2 linked regions of the Notamacropus eugenii genome follow. The protein of the gene in region 2 purifies or fractionates together with the protein of the main gene of each other region. This does not show direct contact. Links are inferred from orthologs where the notes say so. Each region holds a gene or a part of one and is shown on either strand. Other genes may lie near its edges.

The links.
Region 1: the proteins of ANAPC16 (region 2) and ANAPC4 purify together in Homo sapiens (co-immunoprecipitation; 10 studies listed by BioGRID and IntAct, with this or other methods). This does not show direct contact. The link is inferred for Notamacropus eugenii from reciprocal best matches to the Homo sapiens genes ANAPC16 and ANAPC4.

Annotation. Positions count from the first base shown.
Region 1 is NC_092877.1:78,213,219-78,216,966, reverse strand, and holds the start of ANAPC4 (anaphase-promoting complex subunit 4), read right to left. Parts: upstream 2,453-3,748; 5' UTR 2,194-2,452; coding exon 2,082-2,193; intron 1,976-2,081; coding exon 1,854-1,975; intron 1-1,853. UniProt on the Homo sapiens protein: Component of the anaphase promoting complex/cyclosome (APC/C), a cell cycle-regulated E3 ubiquitin ligase that controls progression through mitosis and the G1 phase of the cell cycle.
Region 2 is NC_092872.1:238,075,102-238,078,849, forward strand, and holds the start of ANAPC16 (anaphase-promoting complex subunit 16), read right to left. Parts: upstream 2,424-3,748; 5' UTR 2,351-2,423; coding exon 2,334-2,350; intron 2,070-2,333; coding exon 1,921-2,069; intron 1,507-1,920; coding exon 1,423-1,506; intron 1-1,422. UniProt on the Homo sapiens protein: Component of the anaphase promoting complex/cyclosome (APC/C), a cell cycle-regulated E3 ubiquitin ligase that controls progression through mitosis and the G1 phase of the cell cycle.

The sequences.
Region 1 (3,748 bases), on a different chromosome or scaffold from region 2:
GTACTAGGCACTATGCTAGGGGATAGGGGTACAAATACAAAGAATAAACATGTCTATGCTCAAGTTGCTTACATGTATATGATATAAATATTGAAGTGTTCTTCAATACCTCTAGCATTTGTCTCCTCCTTTCACTCTGTCCATCACCCTATTTAAAACTCTCCAAAGCTGCCCTACTGAGTCAAAAAGATTCAGGTGCAATTATCATCTCTGACACATAAGAGCTGCATAACCATGAAATTAATTAACCCCTCAGCAACTCAGAATTGCCCATCAGTACTGGTGGAAGAAATTTTCTCAAATTCCTTACACAGATGAAATCAAAGGTCAAAAAAAGCCCAAGATCCTCCATAATGTAGTTCTCACTACAAGTAGCATCCCCTTCCAGACTCATGTCGCACTACTCCCCTTCACACATTCATAGACTCCTAAGATTTAAAGCTAAGAGCATTTATTAAGCATTGTGCGCATGAGACACTGAGCTACGCACTGAAGATATAAAAACAAAAGTGGAACTTTAGTCCCAGCTGTCAAAGAGCTTACATTTAAATGAGGAAGACTAAATGTATACATATAAGTATAAACATAACACATAGGGAATGAGTACAAGGTGACACTAGCATCTAGGAGGATAATAAAAAGCTTCATGTAGAGGAAGCTCTTGAACTGAATTTTAAAACAAGCAGAAATTCCAAGAGGCAGAAGTGATAAGAAAGTGTATCCCAGGTCTGGCATGTGCAAAGGCATGAAGATGGGAGACTGAACAGATACCTAAAAGTGAAAAGACTTGCTGAAGACTACATAGGGAGTAGGTGTTCGTGGGAACTGGGAAACAAACCCAACCATTTTTTTTTTTTTACCACAAATTCAATGAGACATTTTACAGGCCAACAAAATGACTTACTCCATTTTTTCCATACATATCCCCTGCTTTCTCACTCACTCTCTTCATTCTGGAATGCTCTTCCCTTGCATCTTTCTTTACCAACTGAACTCCTAAAAAGTCACTAAGGCCCAGTTGGAAAAACCTTCTCTAACTCTCTTTCCTGTTCCAGCATCATCCTCCCCAAAAAAAAACCAGAACATTTTGCACCTGGGAACGAATTACAATGTTGCCAAGTACTTGCTACATTACACCGGGTAAATCACTTGACTTGTCTGAGGCAAAGCAGAGACTTCACTTTTTTTTACTTTTCTCTGGATCCCCAGTACTTAGCGCAGTGTTTGAAGCACTTCATAGATGCCTGCTGACTGAACCTATTTCCTCATCTCCAAGGCAGATAACACAACCTTTTAACCTCATGTCTTGCATTGTAAAAGGGTTTTAGGTTTTTTTGGCCCTACCTTAGTCTTTTCGTATAGATATTTTAAAGGGCAGACAACTGGTAAAAGTGTAATGCGCAACTTTTTATATATTATTGAATTTTTTGGAAAATATTTCAACTTCGATGGGAAACCAAAAATGACACGATCATCAGGCCCATGTTGGCACCCCTCGCACATGCTTCCATTTCGGTACCTATTGTTTCTCCGTCTTACTACGCGACTGTGTTAGCTTTCTATATGAAAAAATCCTTAAACAGAAAAATATTAAAGTAAACTTGCTTTCTAATGAAAGATAACTTTTGACCTCTATGTCAATGTTTATTTTTGCAATGTTTTTCAGAAGCTTCTTCAGTGGATTGTGAGGAGAAGTGTTTGAGTTCATTGTGCTTCTCCCAGAGACTGGAAAGGTCCCTTCCCCGGAGAGCGGCTCTGGGGTATCATCATAGACCTGGAGCTGGAGGGGAAACTGAGGCCCGGGGAGGCTGGGGCGCTGTTGCGGGGGAGAGCATCCCCCGTCTTTCACTTACCTCCCCCACTTTGTTGGCTAAGGCAATGAGGTCCCTCTTGGGAGACCAGGCCATGAAAATGATCTCCTGGGGCAGCTGCTTCTCTCCCACCTGTCTGAAGGCCGGCATCGCGGGAGTCGGTCCTGCAATGACAAACCTCCCTCTTCAAACTGGACCGCGGGGTCCGCCAGACTCCCGAGGCAGCCGCCTCCCGGCCCCGCCCCCTCGCCTCCCGCGCAGCCGCATTACCGGGCAGGTTCGCTCCGTGGTGGCGCCAACCACGGCCGCGGATCCCGTGTTCCGGAGCGGAGCCGGCCTCGAGAGGCACTTCCGGGGTTGGAACTTCCGGCCGGAGCGCCATGCGCGTGCGCGATGTGGGTGACGCAGCGGCTCCAAGTGGCCACTCTCCCGGCCTGTGTAGAGCCCTCTTTAAGTCAGTTTCACCCCTTACCCTCGAGGAGCTTCCAGTCCAACAGCCGAGGAAACGTCACCGCTCGTGTGCGGAGGACCCGTCCTTACAGTCATGGCAGCGATGACGAGCAGCGCCTAAGATAAAAGGAGTGAAATCTCGTCAGTTTCCAAAGGAAGCCAATTACGGTGAAATAATTAATAAAACATTTTTTCTTTGAAGTTCGTGAGCTCCGGGGGAAGAGCTTGTTGTAGAAATCATTGCTGCTGTTTGATTATTTGCACCCTCCGGCCACGCAGCGAGCCCCTTGGGATTCCTTCTCGCTGGGGTTCAAGCTGTAGGGAAGCTTTTATACTTTAATAGCTGCTTTTTCAAAAACTGGAACAGCCCGGACCATGTGCTGTGCAAAGGGCAGGCTGCAGACCACTATTCTAAATAAGGCAGGCAACCTCATATTTTATAAAATTTCGCCCCATCTCTCCTAAAAACGAAGGCTTGGTTTTCCTAAAGCCCCGTGCTTGGACCTGGAATGCTCTGTCTTCTCCACTCCTCCCGACTAAAATCCCCCAGGAAGGCTTCCCCAGCCCCTCTTGATTTCGGTACCTTCCAGGTGCTCCTGAACATAGTTTACTCTGTGTGTGTGTGGGCACATATACATATGTGTGTATATGCACGTATATATATAGGTGTGTGTGTTTGCATGTTGTCTCCCACCTGAGTTTGTAAGCTACTTAAGGGCTGAAACTTTCTTTTGTCTCTTTCTGTATCCCGGGTGCTTAGCACGATGCCTGGCATACGGAAGATATTTAATAAATGCTTATTGAATGAGTGAATTATGCCATCATTCACCATCTTCAACGTTGAATGTCATCGCATGTCAAACTCACAAAGTGTTGAGAACTGTTAGGTGCCTATAAATCTGCTGAAAGATGTGCCTTTTCCAAAATAACAGAGTATATGAGTTAATAGGATATTCCTTTTGGAAATTCCATGTAACTACGGTATGTAAGGAGGATTTTGTTATCTTTTTTAGTTTAGTTTCTCAGGGTCTATGGCCATGGGAATGTCCAGTTTCCAAGTGTTACATAGTAACTGCTAAAAGTCTCAAGAATTCTAGATTGTAGTTCTTAGAATCATACTGAGGCTGCACCGTGAGATAGGGGAGTGACAGAATTGATATTTACTACGATTGTGCTGAATGACAATGTTGCTAAAGTTAACTTGTGAACTTCATGTTGGCATGATGCCTTCTTTGTCTGATTGCCCTATAAAGCAGGTGGGCACTGGTGGGGGGGGGGGATTTCATGTCCATGGGGGAAAACCCCAGGGAACCCATAGGGGATTCTGTGTGTGCCTCAAGGGGCCCCTCACCGAGGACTGAGGGGAATTAGGGAAGTGCACAAGTGTGCCTGTCTGGATTGACCCCATTGAGAAGTAGTTGCCCCACCCCTGCTTCTTGCCAGCCCCTCCGAGAAGGAGGGAATGCTGTAGGAGCTGGTTGTCCCAC
Region 2 (3,748 bases):
GAATGAAATGCTGCCAATTAGACTTACTTATTTCTAAATCTAAATGGAACCTCTTCTGCCCACATGGAAGCTACTGAGCAATTAAATTTTTAATTTGTTTTGAGGCCAAACTCCTTCATTCCACATAACTCATACTAGCATATGGGGTACTGTGCTTAACATAACAGAACACTAGCTCCAAGCTGCCTACAGGGTCAATGGTGCTAACACGTGCATCCTGGTACACAGCTCTTCTTCTCGCTCCAGATCTCTGTAAGACTAGAAGGACAGAAGCCCACATCAGAACTGTTATTAATTACAATCCCGGAACAAATAGAAATTCTGCTGCTTGACATTTAGAGATCTTCATGACCTGGCTCCTTCTCCATGCTCTGACAACCAGCCCCATAAGCTGGTCTTTGTACAGGCATTTTCCCTGGAATTTCCTTCTTCCTCATCTATGCCTCCTCCTCCTCCTGAAGTTTCAGCTAAAATCTCACTTTGTACAATCCTCCTAATTCTAGCATCTTCCCTCGGCTGATCATTTCTGAATTACCCTGCTTATGTCTCATTTGCCTGTCATCTCCCCTGCACTGGACTGTCACTGAGAGCAGGGATCATGTTTTTGCCATTCTTTATATTCTCAGAACTTAGCAGTGCCTGGCACAGAGTAGGGGCTTAGTAAAGACTGTTCACTGGACTATACTGCTAAGTTATCCACTATATTAATAATACAAACCAAGTCTAGAAGTCTTCATGGGCTTCACAGTTAACCCTCCTGCATTTTTCTTTCACAAATTACCTCTCTGCTTCCCCAGGTTAAAAGCACTGATTCCACAAGCAGATTCCTCAAGCGGCAGATTTCACCTTTCTCATGTGTGTAAGCAAAGAGAAATATCCAGATAAGTTTATAAATGTGAATACTGAAGGCTGTAATAGCCAAAAGGATGATGAACTGCTTTGGGAGGGGGAACAACTCTGCACCAGATAATAACCTTACGCATTTGCTTACATTGTGCTTTAAGGTCTACAAAGTACTTTTCTCATACCAACTCTACAGACGTAGCTAGGACAAGCACAATTATCCCCATTTTACATATGGAGAGAATGTGACAAGAAAGGTAGAGTGAATAGCCACACTGCCACTAGGTAGCAGAATCAGAATGGGAATTGAGGTCTTCTGATTCCAAGTTGAGCCCTTTTTTACAGACTATATAAAGCCTGCCTCTCATACATACTAACACTTCCAAGGGTCTGCCAAGGGGCCCAGATGCACTGGTGAGATTAGAAATAGAGAGATAAAGGGCCAATATCCTATATATAAGCAAGAGGTTAGCGGTGATCAGAATGGTTCCCATACCCCCAAGGGATTAGCTCAGTTGGTTACTGCATTATGCGAAAAAGGCTGAGATCCAGGGTTGGTTTTCCCATATGTAGAGTTACCTTTGCTCTTTTCCATGGCCACAGACTGCATCCCTAACCTTGGCCAGCTGTTTTGCAAATGTCTGTTGTTGGTCACAAGGAGGTCTGAATGAGAGAGTGAGGATGGTTCAATGCAAATCCATCTCTACCACTGGAAAAACTCAAAGCACATGCCCTGGCAGTGGAGTTAGTAATGTTAATTTTACATTTAGTCTATTTTAAAATTAAGTTTATATATACATAATTAAGTCTATATTAAGATTATTTTCATCTCCTAGAAACTAGGTAATGGGGTTTATTTTTCTTTAGTATGGTAAGCTAAAAAAAAAAAAAAGATACAACCTGCTAACTAGAGGACAGAGAGTTCCTTGGACATTAGGGACAAAACAGGGAACGTGAAAAAGAGGTTATTCTGTTTTGAGGCTGGTATACTTCTATCTACATTCCTTTTAATAGATACTTTACTATTTTATTATAAATTTGAATCTAATTATTCAGCAAAAAGCAGAGTATGTTCACCTTCTAACATTTCTCCAGCTCCTTTGGGGTAGGTGAAAAGGGCTTTCCGTGGTGGGGCAAGGTCTGAGACACTAAAGCCAGATCCAGTTACAGAACTTCCACTGACCCCTCCAGCTGAGGACGAGGATGAAGAGGCAGCCATTTTCTTTCTAGTCAATGAGAGAAAAAGAAAAAGAAAAACACAACAGCAGTTAGCAGGTTTATGGAAACAGAACCAGACAAGACTGAATTCAGTTCTGGGCAGCAGTCAGATCTCTCACAACCTCCCCATTCCTTATGTCCTGGGTGAAATCCTGACTCTAGTTCGGAAGAGAAAATAAATTTGCTGGTAGTTGGCTTTCTCAAAAATAACAAAAACAACAAACCACCACTACACCAAAAAAACACAACCACCCCCCAAAAAAACTTCCCACCTTTTAAAAAGTATCATTACTGATGTTAAAAGGAAGCTCCAGACAGAAGGTGTGAACAGTTTATAGGCTATAACCCAGGTGCCAAGGCAGGCAGTGCTGATGCAACAATGTGACTGGAGAAGAAACCAAACTATGTCACTGAGACAGCAAGTATGCCAGAAAGAACAATCTGTCCTGGACACACACTTATCACTCTGTGCCAAAACCAAATGTTATCAGAACTTCCAAGTAAACCTTTAGCCTCCCAGGTGAACACTGGGTTTCATTCCTGAGGTGAGGCAATCAGTCTGAAACACAACTTTTCATTTTTTGAGCTTTGCACACATTTAAAGCAAATGTAGTACTCAAAGTCATCACCTGGTGGCGTCTCCAAACTAAAAATACTCCCTAAAATCCATCAATTCAATAGCCTGGTTATGTTTAATATGGCTCCCAATGAGAATTTTCTACTTAAATTCACTACTCACTAACGGTATATGTAAAAAAAATAATTTTTGCTAGGCATATTTCCATAGTGCGTTGCATATAGTTGGTATCTAAATGTTTGCTACTGGAACTGAATTGCATTTAATCTAAATAACCCTGGAGAAAAGGTAGGAAGTTTGCCTATTTTCTGAAAAAGACTGTCTACTTTCTGGTTTTCCACATGAGGAAAAAAAGCCCAACAATCACCTCTGAGATACCATTCTGCTTCCTCACTGCTCTGATGTCCAAAACAAGAAGCCTGGTTTCTGGTTTATATGTGCAAGGGATACTGAGAAAGGTTACAGGTCTGTAGGCTAGGGGCTGTAGAGAAACTGGTACAGCCGGGAGCTCCTTAAAAGTGTCTCAATGGAATTAGCAATCTTACTATACCCTACATCAAAACCCTTCCTTACTTCTCACTAAGTTGATGACAATCAGTCATAAGGAGAAATTCATATGATCCTAAGTTTCAGAGTTTGAAAGAACGTTGAAAAGGAAGGGAAGGAAACCAGCATTTATAAAGTACCTTCTATGTGCACAGTGCTAGGCACCAGGCTAAGTGCTTTTCACAAGTATCTCATCTGGTTCTCACAACAACCCAGCAAAGTAGATACAATTATTACCTCTAGTTCACAGCTGAGGAAACTGAAGCAAACAGAGGTTAAGTGACTTGCCCAGGGTCACCCAGCTACTAGGTGTACTAAGTGTCTGAGGTAGCATTTGAACTCAGCTCTTCCTGACTCCAGGTTCATCATTCTATCCACTGTACCACCAACAGGTTCTGGTCATTTTGTCTAATCTTCTCATTTTACAGATGAGAGGGGAAGAGGGGGTCATGTGGAACTGAGGCCCAGAAAGTGTAAATGAAATGTCAAAAAGGTAAGTAGCCAAGCTAGAAGTAGAACCCAGGTGTTTTCCCTGTAAATCTATTCTCTTTTGACAACACCACT